Macaca mulatta: one gene and its partners. The protein of the gene in region 2 interacts with the protein of the main gene of each other region in a biochemical or structural test. Links are inferred from orthologs where the notes say so. Each region holds a gene or a part of one and is shown on either strand. Other genes may lie near its edges. The genes, in order: SERTAD1, CDKN2A, E2F1, TRIP12 and CCND2.

The links.
Region 1: the proteins of CDKN2A (region 2) and SERTAD1 form a complex in vitro, tested with the Homo sapiens proteins (2 studies listed by BioGRID). The link is inferred for Macaca mulatta from reciprocal best matches to the Homo sapiens genes CDKN2A and SERTAD1.
Region 3: the proteins of CDKN2A (region 2) and E2F1 form a complex in vitro, tested with the Homo sapiens proteins (2 studies listed by BioGRID). The link is inferred for Macaca mulatta from reciprocal best matches to the Homo sapiens genes CDKN2A and E2F1.
Region 4: the proteins of CDKN2A (region 2) and TRIP12 form a complex in vitro, tested with the Homo sapiens proteins (2 studies listed by BioGRID). The link is inferred for Macaca mulatta from reciprocal best matches to the Homo sapiens genes CDKN2A and TRIP12.
Region 5: the proteins of CDKN2A (region 2) and CCND2 form a complex in vitro, tested with the Homo sapiens proteins (2 studies listed by BioGRID). The link is inferred for Macaca mulatta from reciprocal best matches to the Homo sapiens genes CDKN2A and CCND2.

What each region holds. Positions count from the first base shown.
Region 1 is NC_133424.1:51,532,119-51,536,408, reverse strand, and holds the start of SERTAD1 (SERTA domain-containing protein 1), read left to right. Parts: upstream 1-1,489; 5' UTR 1,490-1,603; intron 1,604-4,145; coding exon 4,146-4,290. UniProt on the Homo sapiens protein: Acts at E2F-responsive promoters as coregulator to integrate signals provided by PHD- and/or bromodomain-containing transcription factors. Stimulates E2F1/TFDP1 transcriptional activity.
Region 2 is NC_133420.1:77,239,033-77,243,325, forward strand, and holds the start of CDKN2A (cyclin-dependent kinase inhibitor 2A), read left to right. Parts: upstream 1-1,482; 5' UTR 1,483-1,800; coding exon 1,801-1,926; intron 1,927-4,293. UniProt on the Homo sapiens protein: Acts as a negative regulator of the proliferation of normal cells by interacting strongly with CDK4 and CDK6. This inhibits their ability to interact with cyclins D and to phosphorylate the retinoblastoma protein.
Region 3 is NC_133415.1:86,457,672-86,461,797, reverse strand, and holds the start of E2F1 (transcription factor E2F1), read left to right. Parts: upstream 1-1,326; 5' UTR 1,327-1,700; coding exon 1,701-1,961; intron 1,962-4,126. UniProt on the Homo sapiens protein: Transcription activator that binds DNA cooperatively with DP proteins through the E2 recognition site, 5'-TTTC[CG]CGC-3' found in the promoter region of a number of genes whose products are involved in cell cycle regulation or in DNA replication.
Region 4 is NC_133417.1:135,054,135-135,057,646, reverse strand, and holds part of TRIP12 (E3 ubiquitin-protein ligase TRIP12), read left to right. Parts: intron 1-841; coding exon 842-993; intron 994-1,670; coding exon 1,671-1,813; intron 1,814-3,120; coding exon 3,121-3,277; intron 3,278-3,512. UniProt on the Homo sapiens protein: E3 ubiquitin-protein ligase involved in ubiquitin fusion degradation (UFD) pathway and regulation of DNA repair.
Region 5 is NC_133416.1:5,182,143-5,185,654, forward strand, and holds part of CCND2 (G1/S-specific cyclin-D2), read left to right. Parts: intron 1-1,926; coding exon 1,927-2,075; intron 2,076-3,512. UniProt on the Homo sapiens protein: Regulatory component of the cyclin D2-CDK4 (DC) complex that phosphorylates and inhibits members of the retinoblastoma (RB) protein family including RB1 and regulates the cell-cycle during G(1)/S transition.

The DNA of each region.
Region 1 (4,290 bases), on a different chromosome or scaffold from region 2:
CTGCCTTGGCCTCCCAAAGTACTGGGATTACAGTTGTTGCCTGGCCAACAACTATCAATTAAATCTAGGTGAGAGAGTATTCAGGTGTGAGCCACTGCATCCAGCCAAGGGAGGAGTATTATACCCTGTCTACCTCTAGCCCCATCCTGCATGTCTATTCATCTTGAACTAAAAGCTTGTCTTATTACAACAGCTATTACTGCTAACAAGGAAACGTGTTGCTAACCAGGCACGGTGGCATGTGCCTGTAGTCCCACCTGCTTGGGGGTCTGAGGCAGGAGGATGGCTTGAACCCTGGAGGTCTAGGCTGTAGTGAGTTGAGATGGCACCCCTACACTCCAACCTGGGTGACAGAGCGAGACCCTGTCTCAAAAACAAAATAAAATAAAATAAAAAGTAAAGAAAAAAAAAAGGCAGCTGGGCGCGGCATCTCAGGGCTCTAATCCCAGTACTCTGAGAGGGCGGATTACCTTAGGTGAGGAATTTGAGATCTGCCTGGCCAACGAGGTGAAAACCCACCTCTACTAAAAATACAAAAATTAGCCGGGTATGGTGGCACACCCCTGTATTCCCAGCTACTCAGGAGGCTGAGGCAGGATGATTGCTTGAACCTGGGAGGCGGAGGTTACAGTGAACTGAGATCGTGCCACTGCACTCCAGCCTGGGCGACGGAGTGAGAATCTGTCTTAAATAAATAAATAAATAAATAAATAAATAAATAAATAAAATGAAAAAACCACAAAACACATTGCACCCCACTCTGAGGATTTTGCATGAATTGTTTTATTTAATCCTTAAAACAATCCTCTAAACTAGGGGCTATTTTCTCTCATGTTAAAGGAGAAAAAGACCCGAAGGGATTAAAACACTTGCCCCAGGTCACACAGCTGCTTAGGGAATGGAGCCCGGGATGTGATTCCGCACTCCCACCTCACTGCCGCCCTTAACCACAATTAAGTCCAACTGTCCAGCATTGCTTGAGTGTGGTATTGTGTTCTTATAGATACGATCCTATTTAAACTTTCTTGTCAAGAGGTATGCAAGACGATCCCCATTTAACTTTGTGTAGCTTGAAGAGGTTGATCATTTTTCCAAGGTCACGCATCGAGTGAGTGGGGAATCAGGAGTCGGAATTTGAACCTGGGCATATCTGTAGTGTAGACCACTGTCGGGGGTGGATGTGTAAGAAGCTTAATTGCCGGGTTTGGCAGGTGCATGGGTAGTTGTGAGGGGCTCGTACTTTGAGAGGCAAAAGCTCCCACTCGCCACCGTCCCCCAGAGTAAAAAGCCACCTCTTTCCACCCCTCACTCGCGCAGCTGCCCGGGCATGCGCCCAGAAGCCCCTCCTTCAGAATCCGCCCTTTACAGGCTCCGCCCATCACCGTAGAGGGCCAATCCCTGGGGCGGAGGGCGGGGCAGCCACGAGAGTGGGCGGTCGCTAAGGGTAGTTAGGAGTCTGGAGTCGTGAGCCGAAGTCAGAACTGCGTCTCGCGACCCAGGCGCCGGTTGCTGGAGGAGAGCGAGCAAGCGATGCTGCCGCTGCCGTTTCCTGATTGGTTGTGGGTGGCTACCTCTTCGTTCTGATTGGCCGCTAGTGAGCAGGGTATGTAAATGAAGGGGCCTGGGAAGAAAAGGGGTACCAGCGGCCGGGTCCTTCACGGAGTTCGATCCCTGGGTCCGACAGGTGCCCGCCGGGGCTGCCCGGGATCGAGACGCGCGGGCCTCTACGTGCTGTCTGCCCCGGCCGGGCCGGGTGAATCACGCCGCAGTCCGAGAAGGGGGCGGAGGCGCCGGCTCCTTGGCTCCGGCTGCGTGACTCACCCGCCCCCGCCGCCGCCGCTTCGGGAGGAGCCGCCTCCACTGCCGGAAGCGAGCGGAGGCCGGGCGCAGAGAACAGCCCGCCTAGGGTCCTGGCTCTCACGGCGCCGGGAGGCCTGCAGGAATCACAGCCGGGCAGTAGAAGGGGTTCTGGGGTCAGAGGGGCCAGAATCCCCAGGGGAAAGCCGGCCTGGGCACCGCCAGGGGGCGCCGGGACTCGGGGGCGGAGTCGGGGGTGGGGGCGGAATTCCTGCGGTTCCGGACTCCACGGACTGCGGGGAAGGGGACGAAGACCCAGTTTTGAGTAGTGTGGTGGGCCACTCTTAAAATCTTGCTAGGCAGGGTCCCGGAACTGGACTCTAAAGTCTTCCTGGCCCAAAAAAGTAGGTAGCGCCAGGGGTCCAAAACTCCATCCAGCCCTACCCCCGCCACTCCAAGAAAAGAGTGGACCCTCAAACTTATCTCAGTGACTGACCCCGGTGCCGATCACGATTTCTCGACAAGCCCTGTCTATTCTGCCTCCCAAAGAAATCCTGACTCGACCGACTTCCTTCCATACCCACTACCAGCTCCTGCTCCAGGCCATCACTATCGTCAGTCCCAAACCAGTACAGCCTACTAGTGGGTCTCAGATCCCCCCTCTTTTTGCCCCCTACAGTATTCCTCGAAGCAGCCATGGGGGGGATCTTCCGGAAACCTAATCAGCTCACACCCCCATTCCCTCCGTGCTCAAATTCCTTTAATGACTGCCCACCACACTCAGGATAAAATCCAAACTCCCTACTAATGCATATGTGGTTTTCTGTGACCTGGCTTGTGCCCATTCCCCCAGCCTCTGGGCTTTTCTTTGCCTTTTTTTGTTGTTCCCTCCTCCCGGAATGCTTTTCCCAGGGTCTCCCATGGCCGACTTCTCTGGCCTGAGGGCTCCATTCAAATGTCACCTCCTTACAGGAGCCTTCTCTGATCATCTAAAAGGTCTCCAGGACCTTTTAGTGTCTTCCTGTAATTCTCCGTACATTTCCTGTGTTTGCTTATTTATTTACTGTTTGAAACGTCATAGTAGACAATAAGTGTTAAACTATGTGAAACTAGTTTAGTATTTATAATATAACTTACTTAGATATAATTATTTATAACGTTATTATAATATATGAAACAGCTGCTTTTGTAGGGGAAAAAGTTGAATGGTCATTCCACATGGTTCACTGAAGAAATAATAATGTTATCATTAAGTGTACTTATTGGCAGGGCATGGCAGCTCACACTTATAATCCCAGTACTTTGGGAGGCTGAGGCGGGAGGATGGCTTAAGGCAAAGAGTTTGAGACCACCCTGGGTAACATAGTAAGACTTTGTCTCTACAAAAAATAAAAGGGGGGAAAAAAAGAGTGTTTATTGATTGAGGGGGGAGGATCACTTCAGGCCAGGGGGTTTGAGACCAGCCTGGGCAATATAGTGAGACCCCATCTCTTTTTTCAGATTAAAAAGTCTATAAATATACTTAAATACAAAATTTAAAATTTAAGGCCGGGCGCGGTGGCTCATGCCTGTAATCCCAGCACTTTGTGAGGCCGAGATGGGTGGATCATGAGGTCAGGAGATCGAGACCATCCTGGCTAACATGGTGAAACCCCATCTTTACTAAAAATACAAAAATTAGCCGGGCGTGGTGGCGGGCGCCTGTAGTCCCAGCTATGTGGGAGGCTGAGGCAGGAGAATGGGGTGAACCCCGGAGGCGGAGCGTGCAGTGAGCCGAGATCGAGCCACTGCACTCCAGCCTGGGCAACAGAGAGAGAGACTGTCTCAAAAAAAAAAAAAAATTTCTTTTAAAGTCTATAGGCTGGGTGTGGTGGCTCACACCTGTAATCCCAGCACTTTGGGAACCAGAGGTGGGCGGATTACTTAAGGTCCAGGAGGTCGAGACCAGGCTGGCCAACATGGTAAAACCCCGCCCCTACTAAAAATATAAAAATTAGCCAGATATGGTGGCGTGCGCCTGCAATCCTAGCTTTTGGGGAGGCTGAGGCACGAGAAACACTTGAACCCGTGAGGCAGAGGTTGCAATGAGCTGAGATCACGGCATTGCACTCCAGCCTGAGCAACAGAGCGAGACTCTATCTCAAAATAATAATAATAATTTATAAATATACATATGCAATTAAATAAAAATTATCTATATCTTTAAAGTTCCCTAGGAAAAGCTAGACACAGAGAGGTTAAGTGACTTGCCCAAGATCCTACCTGTAGCAACTGTCAGATCCAGGCTTTGAACTGAACATTTGTTTTCTATAACTGACTATAACTCCATAACTCCCTGCCCTCTGCAGATGCTGAGCAAGGGTCTGAAGCGGAAACGGGAGGAGGAGGAGGAGAAGGAACCTCTGGCAGTCGACGCCTGGTGGCTGGATCCTGGCCACGCATCGGTGGCACAGGCACCCCCAGCTGTGGCCTCTAGCTCCCTCTTTGACCTCT
Region 2 (4,293 bases):
AGCCTCCCAGTAGCTGGGATCACAGGCATGCACCACCAAGCCCAGCTAATTTTGTATTTTTTAGTAGAGACAGGGTTTCGCCATATTGGTCAGGATTGTCTCGAACTCCTGACCTCAGGTGATCCTCCTGTCTCAGTCTCCCAGAATGCTGGGATTATAGGCGTGAGCCACCGCGTCCAGCCTTTCCTTTTATATAATAGTGATAATTCTATCCAAAGCTTTTTTTTTTTTTTTTTTTTTTTTTTTTTGAATCGGAGTCTCATTCTGTCACCCAGGCTGGAAGGCGGTGGCGCGATCTCGGCTCACGGCAACCTCTACCTCCTGGGTTCCAGCGATTCTCCTGCCTCAGCCTCCTGAGTAGCTGGAATTACACACGTGCGCCACCACGCCCGGCTAAGTTTTGTATTTTTAGTACAGACGGCCAAAGCTGGCCTCGAACTCCTGACCTCAGGTATCTGCCCGCCTCAACTTCCCAAAGTGCTGGGATTACAGGCGTGAACCACCGCGTCCGGCTCCAAAGCATTTTCTTTCTATGCCTCAAAACAAGATTGCAAGCCAATCCTCAAAACGGATAATTCAAGAGCTAACAGGTATTAGTTTAGGATGTGTGGCAGTGTTCTTAAGTCTTATATGTATTAATATACAACAATTCATTTAAACTCACAACACCCCTGTAAAGCAGGGGGTACTCATATTCCCTTCTCCCTTTATAACTAAGAAAAATGCAAAGTATTTTCAGTAGGAAAGAGAAATGTGAGGAGTGTGTAGGAGACAGGACAATGTGTAAAGCGGGTCTTTGGATCACTGTGCAACTCTGCCTCTAGAACACTGAGCACTTTTTCTGGTCTAGGAATTATGACTTTGAGAATGTAGTCCGTCCTTCCAATGACTCCATCTCCATTTTCCTATCTGCCTACAGGCAGAAATCTCCCCCGTATTAAATAAACCTCATCTTTTCAGAGTCTGCTGTTATACCAGGCAATGTACACGTCTGAGAAACCCTTGCCCCAGACAGCCATTTTACACGTAGGAGGGGAAGGGGTGGAGAAGGAGAGGGTAGGCCAACTCTCCAAAAGGAATCCTTTGAACTAGGATTTCTGAGTTAGTGAACCCCGCGCTCTCGAAAATCAAGGGTTGAGGGGGTAGGGGGACACTTTCTAGTCGTACAGGTGATTTCGATTCTCGGTGGGGCTCTCACAACTAGGAAGGAACAGTTTTGCTTTTTCTTATGATTAAAAGAAGAAGCTATACTTTCCCTATGACACCAAACACCCCGATTCAATTTGGCAGTTAGGAAGGTTGTACCGCGCAGGAAGGAAACGGGGCGGGGGGCGGGGGGATTTCTTTTTTTCTTTTTAACTGAGTGAACGCACTCGAACGCGCCTTTGCTGGCAGGCGGGGGAGCGCGGCTGGGAGCAGGGAGGCCGGAGGGCGGTGTTGGGGGCAGGTGAGGAGGAGGAGCCCAGTCCTCCTTCCTTGCCAACGCTGGCTCTGGCGGGGGCTGCTTCCGGCTGGTGCCCCCGGGGGAGGCCCACCCTGGGGCGACTTCAGGGGTGCCACATTCTCTACGTGCTCGGAGTTAATAGCACCTCCTCCAAGCACTCGCGAACGGCGCCCCCCTGCCTGGAAAGATACCGCGATCCCTCCAGAGGAGTTGAGGGACAGAGGCCGAGGGGGCTCTTCCGCCAGCACCGGAGGAACAAAGAGGAGGGGCTGGCTGGTCACCAGAGGGTGGGGCGGCCGCGTGCACTTGGCCGCTGCGGAGAGTGGGAGAGCAGGGAGCGAGCAGCCGGGAGCAGCATGGAGCCTTCGGCGGACTGGCTGGCCACGGCTGCGGCCCGGGGTCGGGTAGAGGAGGTGCGGGCGCTGCTCGAGGCGGGGGCGCTGCCCAACGCACCGAATAGTTACGGTCGGAGGCCGATCCAGGTGGGTGGAGGGTCTGCAGCGGGAGCAGGGGATGGCGGGCGACTCTGGAGGACGAAGTTTGCAGGGGAGTCGGAATCAGGTAGCGCTTTGAGTCTGGAAAAAAGGGCTTCCTGGGGAGTTTTCAGAAGGGGTTTGTAATCACAGACCTCCTGCTGGCGAAGCCCTGGGTGCTTGCGAAGCCAAGGAAGGAATGAGGAGGCACGCGCGTGCCGATCTCTCGAATGCTGTGAAGATCTGAAGGGGGGAACATATTTGTATTAGATGGAAGTATGCTCTATCAGATACAAAACTTACGAAGGTTTGAGATAAAACGGGAGTCTTAAAGAAATGTAAGATGTGCTGGGACTACTTAGCCCCCAATTCACAGATGCCTGGATGGAGTTTATCTTTCTTACTAGTAGGGATTATCAGTGGAAATCTGTGGTGTATGTTGGAATAAATATCGAATATAAATTTCTGATCGAAATTATTCAGAAGCTGCCGGGCGCAGTGCCTCACGCCTTATAATCCCATCACTTTGGGAGCTCAAGGAGCGGGGGGATCACCTAAGAGTTCGAGACCAGCCTGGCCAACAGGTGAAACCCCGCCTCTACTAAAAATACAAAACTTAGCCGGGGGGTGGTGGCAGGCGCCTGTAATCCCAGCTACTCGGGAGGTTGAGGCAGGAGAATCGCTTGAACCCGGGAGGCTGAGGTTGCAGTGAACAGCGAGAGGGAGCCACTTCACTCCAGCCTGGGTGACAGAGTGAGACTGTCGAAAGAAAGAAAGAGAAAGAGAGAGATAAAAAAAAAAAAAAAGCATTCAGAAGCAACTACATATTGTGTTTATTTTTAACTGAGTAGGGCAAATAAATACATGTTTGCTGTAGGAACTTAGGAAATAATGAGCTACATTCATGTGATCGTGCCAGAAGTAATATGTAGTCACCATTTTGGGAATATCTGCTAATATTTTTACTGTTTTGCTATCTTTAGCTTACTTGATAATAGTTTATTTTGTGATAGAGTTTTCAATTCCTCATTTTTGAACAGTGGTGTTTCTCCTCTCCCTACTCCGGTTTTGTGAGGGAGTTAGGGGATGATTTAAAAGTAATTAATGCATGGGTAACTTAGCATCTCTAAAATTTTGCCAACAGCTTGGACCCGGGAATTTGGCTTTGTAGTCCTAAAATATCTTAGAAGAGACCTTATTTGTTTAAAAACAAAAAGGAAAAAGAAAAGTGGATAGTTTTGACAATTTTTAATGGGGAAGGGAGAAGAACATGTAGAAAAGGGGAAGTGTTGTTGGCTTAGAATCCTAACTACACTGGTGTTTAATATAGGAACACTTATTTGTATAATATTTTTAAATGCTAAATTCATATCAATTTATTATCAAATGGGTTTAAGCATCCTACACATTTTAATTCAATGAATTCATTTTCTTTTTGCTTTGGATTTATATCATGATTTAAATATTTACATATGGGTTACTTTTTAGGTTTTTCATTCTATGAAATATAATAAAAACCTTTAAGGCTAGTTTTATGACCAAGACGAAGAGAACTTCAGTGAACACACGGAACAATAAATATGCTGCAACATTTTGTCTTTCTTTTTGTAGCTGCAATTTGGTTTGCTTATACTTTCTCTTTGTCTCTTTGAAAACTAAGTCAGTTTCACTTTCTCAGGACAGCATTTAATAACCATAATATAATTTAGTATAATTCCTTGATTTAGGCAAATTATGCAATTTGTGTTTAGTATGAAATGTACCTAAAAATAAGTAATTCCTCTTTAACACAACCATCCTCAAGCTAATATAACAAATAACAGTTATCCTAAAATAAATTGTTTATTTCCACCATGCAACACTCAAATTTTAAGGTTGCTATGACTGGAGACAGTATTTTAAAATTCCTCTCTGGAAATGGCTTTGTTTCCAAGATGATTTAGGAACCAAAAAGGTGACCATCTCTTGTTTAATGAACTCTCAAATCATAAACCTGGGAAGCCTTTTCGTTTCCTATTGCTGCTGTTACAAATTACCACAAATGTGTTAGCTAAAACAAACAAAATTATTATTTTACAGTACAGTTCTAGAGATCAGAAGTCAAAAATGGGTCCACTTTGGGAAACTCTAAGGGACAATCTGTTTCCTTGTCTTTTCCAGCTTCTAGTGACCATCAAATTCCTTGGCTCATATTCCCTGTATTTTCTCTGTGGCCTGTGCTTCCATTCTTTTATCTTCTCTCTGACTGTGACCCTCTAATAAAAACACTTGGGGTTCTATTGGGCCCACCCTGAAAATTCTGGATAATCTCCCTCAAGACCATTACTTAAATCACATCTGCAAAGCCTCTTTTGCTACATAAGTTAATAAATTAAC
Region 3 (4,126 bases), on a different chromosome or scaffold from region 2:
AAGTAGGAAAAAAAAATAAGATACTGGCTTTTCTAATTCCCTAAGTGTCGGGGGAAAAAAAGAAAGAAAGAAATAAAAGAAAGAAAGAGAAAAACATCACCTGGAATGGCGACACGACATTGTTAAAATGCAGATTCCTGGGCACCTAGAGATTTCAAATTGGCAAGGCCAGGGTGGGCCCAAAATTAGCAAGTGACCACGTGGTTCTGAAGCCAGTGGCCTAAGGACCACCCTTGCAGAACCATAGTCTCCTTGTCACAGTCTAAGCAGCCTCTGGCTTAGCGTCTGTTTCTTTCATAACCTTTCTCAGCGCCTGCTCTCGGTCAGACCAGTGATGGGAGGAGTCGCTACTGAGCTCCTAGATTGGTAGGGGAGGCAGATGGAGAAAAGGAGTGTGTGGTCAGCATTGGAACAGAGGCAGCAGTGGGCAATAGAGGAAGCGAGTAAATCCTTGGGAGGGCTCCCCAGAAGTGATGTGTTTTGTTTTTGCGACAGGATCTCGCTCTGTCACCCAAGCTGGAGTGCAGTAGCATGATCATAGCTCACTGCAGACTCGACTTCTCGGGCTCAAGCAATCCTCCCAGCTCAGCCTCCCAAGTAGCTGGGACTACAGGCACGCGCCACCATGCCTGGCTAATTTTTGTATTTTTTGTAGAGACGGGTTTTCACCATGTTGCTCAGGCTGGTCTCAAACTCCTGGACTCAAGCGATCCACCCCGCCCTCTGATTACAGGGATTCCAGGCGTGAACCACCGCGCCCAGACGACGCTTCATGTTATTGTAAACGTTTGTTACCTTTCTGTTCCCGTCTACTAGACTGTGAGCTCCTCAGGGCCACGAGTTAAGGATGGGGCAGATTTAAGGATGAGGCACAGAGCAGGCTCTTCAAACGTTTGTTGAATGAGTGAGGGAATGAATGAGTTCAGGCCGACGCTTTACGTTGGCTGTTGGAGATTTTGGCTAAAATGGGACTTGCAGGAAAGCTTGACGTCCCCCCGCCATTTCTAGCCACCGCTCTTCAGCTTGGGCTCTGGGTGAGCGGGATAGGGCCGGGTGCAGGATTAGGATAATGTCATGGGTGAGGCAAGTTGAGGATGGAAGAGGTGGCTGATGGCTGGGCTGTGGAACTGATGATCCCGAAAAAAAGAGGGGGCAGTCTCTGGAAATCTAAGCTGAGGCTGTGGAAGGCTACAGGTTGAGGGTCACGTGCAGAACAGAGGCTCTGTTCTGAACCTGCACTATAGAAAGGGCAGTGGGATGCGGGAGCATCGGGGCGGGGCAGGGCGGGGCCCGTGTTCCCGTGTCCCCACGCCTCCAACAGGGGACGCCCGGGCTGGGGGCGGAGAGTCAGACCGCGCCTGGCACCATCCGGACAAAGCCTGCGCGCGCCCCGCCCCGTCATTGGCCGTACCGCCCCGCGCCGCCGCCCCATCCCGCCCCTCGCCGCCGGGTCCGGCGCGCTAAAGCCAATAGGAGCCGCCGCCGTCGTTCTCGTCACGGCCCGGGCAGCCAATTGTGGCGGCGCTCGGCGGCTCGTGGCTCTTTCGCGGCAAAAAGGATTTGGCGCGTAAAAGTGGCCGGGACTTTGCAGGCAGCGGCGGCCGGGGGCGGAGCGGGATCGAGCCCTCGCCGGGGCCTGCCGCCATGGGCCCGCGCCGCCGCCGCCGCCTGTCACCTGGGCCGCGCGGGCCGTGAGCGTCATGGCCTTGGCCGGGGCCCCTGCGGGCGGCCCATGCGCGCCGGCGCTGGAGGCCCTGCTCGGGGCCGGCGCGCTGCGGCTGCTCGACTCCTCGCAGATCGTCATCATCTCTGCCGCGCAGGACGCCAGCGCCCCGCCGGCTCCCACCGGCCCCGCGGCGCCAGCCGCCGGCCCCTGCGACCCTGACCTGCTGCTCTTCGCCACACCGCAGGCGCCCCGGCCCACACCCAGTGCGCCGCGCCCCGCGCTCGGCCGCCCGCCGGTACGGACCCCAGGGACGACGCGCCGACAGCGCCTCCTGTGCCCCCCGCGCAGACCCGGGAGGGCGCCGTGTTTGGCCTGAAGGCGGCAGGGGGCGGGGGAGGGGTTGACTGAGGCGCCCAGGCTGGGCGGTGCAGAGCCGGGGTTGGGCCTGCGGGCCCCGCCCTGGGGTGCGGGGTGACCTCGGGCCGGTCCCTGTTTGCTCCTCTGTGCTCTGGGCCTCAGCTTCCTCACTGGAGGCTCCGCAGCGTCAGACTCAGTGATAATAATAACCCACGTGTATTCAACTGGCGTTTACTGCATGCCAGGCCTTCGGCCGACTTCAAGTCAGCTAAAACTCACAACCCCGCTGTGAGCTGTGTTGTCACTGTGCCCATCTGACGGAGGAAGAACTGAGGCCCAGAGAGGGGAAGTGACTTGCCCCTGGTCATACGGCTGCAGGTGGTGGGGCTGGGATTTGAACTGAGGCCTGCTGGCTTCAGCTCAGAATTTGCATCTCGGTAGTGAGCACAGCTGCTAGGGGAAGTGAAGGCGGGGCGGAGGAAGGTCCTGGGGCCTAACCGTTGGTGAGCCATTGAGGAGACCCTCCTTCTGCCTCGATGCTGACTGCCAGGTGCAGGCCTGGCTGGCCAGGCCTCTGGGGACAGCCCTCCTGGCTGGGAGGCCTTCTCTGCAGGGGCGGGGCAGCTGGACCAGCTGCAGGTCCCCTCCCTCTGCCTGTCCTTCCATCTGCCACCCTCCACCCTCCCAGGCCCTGGTTGCCATGGAACCTCATTAATCAGGCAGGCCGACCCCTGAGTCTCTGTAGAAGGACTAGGTGGGCTGGGCCTCTGGGAGCTGGAGAGGCCCCCAGTGCCAGGAGAGAAAATGTCCCAGGGAGATCCTTTAATAAAGTCCTCCCTGATCGCTGAGCTCAAGACCTGTTCAGACTGGGGGGCCCAGAAGAGGCGGCTGAATTACAGTGGGAGAAGGGATTGGAGGTGTAGAGCTGGGACCTGTGGGGCGCAGGGCAGGGTGTGGAGACCAGTTTGACTGGCGCAGCCTATGGGTGAAGGTGGGGCTCTGGTGTGCAGGCGGGGCCTGGCCAGGCTGGATGGGGTCTCAGCAGGGAGCTTGAAGCAAGTGGGAGGGGTGAGGCAGGACTCAGGACAAGGAGGTAGAAGCTGCCTAACTGCTGATGGGGGTGTGGGTGGCAGCTGGTCCCTGAGGCATCCTGAGGAGGCTCCCCCAACCCCCTTGGCCCCATGCCCAATGCTGCCTTCCGGAATCACCACAATGCTAATAATAATAACAATAGCAGCCACCATTGTTTTGAGGATGTCTTGTGTGCCAGGCTCTGTGCCAAGCACTTTACCTAATTAACTCATTTAACCCTATCAGCAGCAGTCCCTTTTTACAGATTGGGAAGCTGAGGCCTAGAGATGTTAGAATCTTCCCATGTCATTCTGCTCTTGAGTGGGGAGACCAGTCTGCATTTTCTGTGAGGTTGACCTCTGGGACGCCTTGCTTCCTAGAGATGCTGATAGAGGTTGGAGAAAGGGCAGGAAGGGCTTTTAGGGGCCCTTCCTCTTAATGAGTGGGTGGGAGGGGTTTGTACCAGGGGTGGACCAGGTGGCCTGTCTCCTGTACTCCAGGGACCTGTCCCTGTGGGTACCGCTTGGGACCTGGGCAAGCATCTTCCATTCAGTTGTGTGACAAGCATATAGCAGGCTCAGGTCTGCAGAAACCTAACAGAACCCGAGGGTCTTGTCCTCAAGTAACTGAACAGGATTATGGGTTCTAGGATCAAAGGGAGGGACAGGGGCAAAGAAAAATGCCCTCCGCGCCACCTGTCAGGGGCAGGCTCATTGGCTTGGGCACTGCATTCATTCAACGGTTGTTGAATTAGTGAATGCCCAGGAGGCACTAGGCACAGAGACAAGGAGCCCCGGCTCCCAGAATACGTAAGGGCCAGGAGGCTAGCACCATTCTGGAGCTGAAGTCCAGAAAGTCCACAGGTTCGGCTTTTGGCCTCTCTGCACTGGCATTTGTCTGGGGCAGTCCTTGAAATAAGCTACAGGCTTAGCTTCTATACTAGCAGGCATTCGTTGAACACCTGTATATAACGCTCTGTGCGATTTGGCCATTCCTCTTGGCCCTGCCTGTCCACTTCCACAAACTCAAGTA
Region 4 (3,512 bases), on a different chromosome or scaffold from region 2:
GTTTAAAAATATGATACTAACAATGCCTTAGAGTTAGACAATATTATTTTTCCATGGAAGACCCCCCCCCACCCCCCTCCCTGCCACCATCACAGTAATTTTCTCACACTGGTTTCCCTGGTCCACAGGAATAAGGGCCCTGTGGCACTTTTTTTCACACAACTAAGTTTGTTCAATATAAAAGGCTCTTGATTTTGAGATTGTTATGTTTTTGGTGTTAAAAAATGCCATTTTCTTTTACGAAATGATGGTGGTATGATTTTTTATTATTTTGCTTGCTATAAGTAAACGGCAACTGTTTTGAGTCCCTCAGATTTATTTTTTTGGTGCCTTTACTTAATGCAGCCTAGTAACAAAGGATTTGCAGACCCTACTTGAAAACCCTCAATCTGTTCAGTCCTAAGCCTTGCATTAAATAACCAAGTCTCTTTTACCAGATTTTTAATTTTGAGGTATTCGTCTCGTTACAAACTGGATATGAAATATCCGGGAAATTTCTCTAACAGTGAACTTAACTTTAAACAGTTTGTTTCTATTCCTCCAGCCATTTTACCGTTTTCTGTTGTTTCTGGTATAAAGGAGAAATGTAGAGGAGCCAGCTTTCCTTCATTATAATGTTTATTTGGGTTTGGGAGGGGAAAGTGAAATTTTTATAAGCCAAGGCATTTTATATGTAAGATAAAATGGGAAGACTGTCAAACTTATCAATACCCTACTAATAGGATTCCAAGCGTTGACTATAACAACGTCCGTTACTCTTTTAGCGATGATAGGACCTTGGCTGCACTGGCTTCACCTTTCTGACTTTGATCAAAACTTACTTTGATCTTTTGTCCTTTAGATGGAGTGTGCCCATCAGTATCAAATCCTTTAGAAGTTTACCTCATTCCCACACCACCTGAAAATATAACATTTGAAGACCCGTCATTAGATGTGATCCTTCTTTTAAGAGTTTTACATGCTATCAGTCGATACTGGTATTACTTGTATGATGTGAGTAACGTTGCCTACTTAAGAAGTTTTCATGGTCTGTGATTGATAAATTTCCTATTGCACTAGAAATGGAAATAGTGATTCAGCTAAATACAGGGATCCTAGCCTAGTAAAGTATAATGTACGCATCAGTGGAAACTTCTCCCCCACTTTTTCTCCCGGTCTAGTCTAAGACTAAAGGCTTAGATTAATTCTCTTGGCAGATTTGTAAAATTTTCTCTAGCAATAAATTTATGAAATTAAGCTACAATATGAAACTTGAACATGGATTTATTATAGTTAAAATTCTTTAGGTACATGTAACGAGAAGTTTATATATCAAGTAAAAGTTGGGTAACAGTTGCATGCTGCCGTTGATATTTATACAGCATAGAGAAGAGTAAAGGAATTGGCCCTGCATGAAACATTAGCTGCAACATCACTGAATGATTGAGCCAGCAGCAGTGGCTGGGGGCGGTGCCCAGCAGTGGCAAGGGGTACATGTGAGGGCTTAACAGTGTATTGTGGGAATTGTTGTTTTAGGTGGGACACAGTAATGAGAGGCTGTGTGTTGTATGTCGGCAACCAGCACTGAATTCAGGGTACTTTGCATGGATTTGGGGATAATGGAAGAGATTGTGAATATAATCCTAATGTTTTACTACATGTAGACTTTTTTTTTTTAAAACATTTTACAGAATGCAATGTGCAAGGAAATTATTCCAACTAGTGAATTTATTAACAGTAAGTTAACAGCAAAAGCAAATAGGCAACTTCAAGATCCTTTAGTAATCATGACAGGAAACATCCCAACATGGCTTACTGAGCTAGGAAAAACCTGGTAAGACAATCACTTCTGTAATGGTGGCCTTGGAAATGTTACTGGGTTGGTCTTGATGTATTTTGTTACAGAAACATTGTCTTTACTGGACCTAGTCAAATGTTTATTAATACCGTTGATCACAACTTGCTTAATTGTGTGGCTTTAGCATGTAAACAGACTAGGCAAGTTTGGGGGCTGGATCTTCTTGGTAGTATGTGTCTTATGTATGAAATAGGAAAGTACACATAGCAGTTTGGCTGAAGATAGTCAAAATTATCTGTTCTCATAAAATTGGATTCCAAAGGTGTAGTTGCTTGATTCTCTGAGCCTGCTTGGGTCAGGGACTCTAGAACTGCAGTGGTAAATGTAAGCCACTGGCCATATACATTTAAATCGGCAGTCCCCAACTCTTTTTGGCACCAGGGACCAGTTTCATGGAAGACAATTTTTCCACAGACATGGACTGGGAGATAGGGCTGGTTTCAGGATGATTCAAGTGCCTCATGAAGGTGGTGGTCATATTTTAAAAATGAGCTTTCATTAGTCATGTTATACTTCCTTCAGGTAGATTAAAGATCTGTCGACTTAAGTGTAGGATTTGAAAAATTAAATATCAGATTCTGCATTGAAAGGCTACTTAATGCACTATTGATCACTTAGAAATTTCATATAAGAAGTATAAAAATTCTTTAAAATTAATTGACCTGGCTGGATGCGGTGGCTGACATCTATAATCCCAGCACTTTGGGAGGCCAAGACAAGTGGATCACCTGAGGTCAGGAGTTCAAGACCAGCCTGACTAACACGGTGAAACCCCGTCTCTACTAAAAAATACAAAAAACTAGCCGGGCGAGGTGGCGGGCGCCTGTAGTCCCAGCTGCTCGGTAGGCTGAGGCAGGAGAATGGCGTAAACCCGGGAAGCAGAGCTTGCAGTGAGCTGAGATCCGGCCACTGCACTCCAGCCTGGGCGACAGAGCGAGACTCCGTCTCAAAAAAAAAAAATACAAAAATTAGCTGGTTGTGGTGTCAGGAGCCCGTACTCCCAGCTACTTGGGGGGCTGAGGCAGGAGAATTGCGTGAGCCTGGGAGGCAGAGGTTGCAGTGAGCCTAGATCACACCACTGCACTCCAGCCTGGGCGATGGGAGCAAGACTCCATCTCAAACTCAATAAACAAATTGACCTAAACAATTTTTACTGATTTTATTTACAATTTTTATTCTATATCATATCAAAAGTTGTTTCTAATATAAGTTTGGATTTTTTTTTTTTTTAGTAGTTTCTAATTCTCATCCAGATAATAAACTTACATTGCATCTTTTTACAGCCCATTTTTCTTTCCTTTTGATACCCGGCAAATGCTTTTTTATGTAACTGCATTTGATCGGGACCGAGCAATGCAAAGATTACTTGATACCAACCCAGAAATCAACCAGTCTGATTCTCAAGATAGCAGAGTTGCACCTAGATTGGATAGAAAAAAAGTAAGTTTCTCCCCGAAATCTTTAAATAATCTGAGCTTTTCAAAATAATGGGAAAACTAGAAATGTAGTATATCTAAATATGCATGTTGGTCGTGGAGGCCTTGGTCCTAGTCAGCTAGCCCTATTTTCCTTTCAGTCTCTTGGAACTGGGCTATCTGTGATTCTTCCTTATCCTTCGTTAAGAGTTTCTCTCCTCCCCACCCGCCAGTTTCTGAAATAATTTCTACAATTCTCT
Region 5 (3,512 bases), on a different chromosome or scaffold from region 2:
ACCCGGGCCTTTGTGGGCCCAGGGCCATGGGCCGGCTGCCCCGCTTGTGTTATGAATGTCACAGGGGGGAGCTAACGAGGTTATTGGGCAGAGAAGCACTCTCCTGTGACCCATGTGGAAGGGACCTACAGCAGAGCAAGAGGCAGGGAGGCCGGCTTTGTCACACTGTCCGTGGCGACAGAGAAGATGAGAAGGCATAGGAGGGGCAGGTGGACAGCAGGCGTGGGCGTAGCACCATTATATACGTCCCTCAAGAGGTGGAGATGGTGAGAGGGCGATGGGAAAAAAAGCCAAGGAGACAGGCAGATGGCCAGGTTTGCTCTGCGTTCGTGATGGGAGGGGAGGGCTATGCTTGGCTCAGGGATCCACAGTGTCTAACTTGATGCTGGGGCAATGGGCCCACCATTAAAACAGCTGCTGTAGAAAATGCGTTTGTAATAGAGCGTGTATAGGAAGAAGGGGAGATATGAGAGGGGCTGGTTTTGTAGGTTTAACCTGATTATTTTTGCTATACGTTGAAGGGTGACCCACGGTTCCCTGTATGCTCTGTCTCCTGCCCCCACGTGCCCCTTCCATGTCTACACACAGTAAGTTCACTAGAGCAATGCTAAAACTGGGAAGAGTACGCTTTGGAAGACTTACTGCACTCCAGGACCGTCACTGGGGTGATGACTGAAACTATACCCACTCTAATGTCATGTCAACGTGAGCAGGGGCAACTTGAACTCTCAGAAGTCTCAGGGGTCTCACCCATACCATTAGGGTGACGCTCTTGTGCACTGTCTGTGGCTGATGGGTGAATTAAACAGGACGTAACGTGTAGCGTATTGCATATGGTGGTCATTGGTAGCTGTCGGCAGCAGTAACAGGAGGAAGTTGGCTGTCTTTATTTCCCCTTGGTGGACCAAGCAGCTGCTGGATCATAGCCACGCAGCCCCTGGGGTCTGGTCTTTCAAGAGGAGCCCTGCAGCACACGGGAGCATCCTCTGTATTTGCTGTCAGAAATGGCAGTGGATGGGGTTCAAGCCCTCTGATTTATTATCCTCATTCTGCACTTCTCTGTAGCAAGTCACATTTTTTTCTCTTAGTAATAAGATGGGGACTTCAGGCTCATGAGTCATAATATGGAAACCAAGTCACCCGTCTGATTCAGATGCAATGATTAATCTTTGGTGCTTAGTTAGAGCCCTATGTTGGGGTTAGAATCCTCTGCCCTAATGTTCTGAGGGTTCTTGCTGTTGGGCCAGAGGTTGGGAACTGGGTGGAATTCAGCCCCGACTCGCCCACTTGCTGCATTGCTGCTTCTCTCATTTCCTTTTTTAAATCGAATCTTTTTTTTGGGGGGGGTCATATTAATCCTTGATGCCTGTCCAGAGACTATAGCAAGATCCCATCTGAATTAGCATTCTGCATAGATTTTGCCCGTTTCTCCCACCTCCTTGTCCTTTCCCTCCTTCTCACATCTGGAACCCCCGGTCTGTCCTGCTTGCATGGCCCATGGGGTACCTTATCTACACTGGTCTCAGGCATTCTCTGCTCTGTTCCCACCATCACCTCCAGAGACCATGACTCGCTCACCTTGCTGCCCCCACCAGGGTCAAGAATGTTACCTCGCACATGCTTAATATGACTGGCATTTGGGGATTGGGGACCTTGAATCCTCTGTGCATTCATTGTGTGCACTTACATAAGCTGCCTTCCTTCCCTGCCTCAGTCTCCTCCATTTAAATCTGGAACAGCCACGGTGATGGTAAATAAACACAGGCTTCTTGTGAAAGAACTCGAGGGAGGACATGCCTGTAGGGCACGGGGGTCACTCGTGCAGCTGACCCGCTGCCATCCTGTTTCTGAGTCTCTGCAGCGTCAGGGAGCTCCAGGATCCGAATGCGTTCTGTGGCCTGACCTTCTGCCTCTCATTCCTTGCAGACTTTAAGTTTGCCATGTACCCACCATCGATGATCGCAACTGGAAGTGTGGGAGCAGCCATCTGCGGGCTCCAGCAGGATGAGGAAGTGAGCTCGCTCACTTGTGATGCCCTGACTGAGCTGCTGGCTAAGATCACCAACACAGACGTGGTAGGTGGCCACCACCTTCTTGGCTAAGTCCAGATGTCTCTTCTCAGCTCAGGGAAAGAGACGTCGGATTTGATGATGTTGTGTCAGAGGTATTTTTTTGGTGTGTTTTCTAAGATCGACATCAAGGGAGTACAAAGTTCAGCAGGTGACACGCCCTCTTAAGGTTCTGAAAAGCTGTGCACCACAAAATACAGAAGAAAATTCAGCAAGCAGATGCGGGGGGCAGGGGGCGGGAGGGCTGTTTACCGACGTTCCTCTATGGCGTGGGCTTCCCAGTGGGTCTGAGTTGTTGCTTCATTGCCATATTTGTACACGCTGCCGGGCTGCCTCTGCCCAGCAGTGAAGAGCCGCCGTGTCTGCTCACACACGCTGAGGCTGTAAGGCGCACAGAGGAGAAAGGAGAGCCAGGACTCAGCTGCAGTGGACGGAGCAGACACACAAGAGGTGCCCCACTGTGAGAACGGTGTCCGCCCCTGGCAAACCTCTCGACCCCTCCCCGCTCTCTCTTCCCTTTTGTTCAATGCAGTAATGGATGACAAAGTGCTTTCAAAAGACAAAAGTGCCATACAAACTCAAGAAACTATTATTAGCTATGGAGCTTCCCCATTCTGTGTGCCCTGTGGACGGCTCAGAGGCTGTTACTTCCTGTTGCCAGAATTCGGAGTTCCTGAGAAGAAAGGTTTTGAGAGAGACCAGGGTCAAGTGAGACTCCGAATTGAATTGGTAGGAAGCTGCAGTCCTAGGGCGTTGGAGCCAGGACGGTGCTGAGAGGTCAGAGAAGCAGTTCCTTATTTTCCACGGGCAGGGCAGGGGTTGAAGTAACCAGCCAGGAGGGGCTGGGCAGTGGCTGAGCTGGGACTAGAACCCCCAAGCTCCGACTGCCCCCTGGAAACTTTCCACTCCACCCTTGCTGCCGCTCCTGGGATCTTTTGGTTTGAAAAAAACCCTTGGGTTTAAAGTCAACCCGAGAGAGGGTTGTTGGCCCTGAGCCCTCATGCATCACCATGGAGAGGCTGAAGAATGCTGGGCACTTCACGATGACACCCTCTGGATGGTCCGGGGGGATTCAGATGCCCTCTGTGGGCTTTTATTGAGTTAAGGGATCATGTGATTTACAGGCCTATGGCTGAGGCCTGCACAAGGGCTACTGAACAGATTAAACTTCACAGAGCCCACGGCTGCAGCTCCCTGGCTTCCTCTCCCGCCCACCTGGATTTTTCCTGGCGTTTGTTCCTCGCTCAGAGAAATGGCGCGGGGAGATGCTGACCGAGCAAATCCGGGATCCTCCTCCGAGATAGTTCTTAGATATGGTTTTAAAATGCGGGCTCCAAACATAACGCTTTTTAAACGAGGGCTCCAAAACGCAGACTGAAGAGCTCCCTCCGGTGCAGCATGAAGAATGCTTTTCTAATCCTCCAGAGGAAAATCGTGGACAGG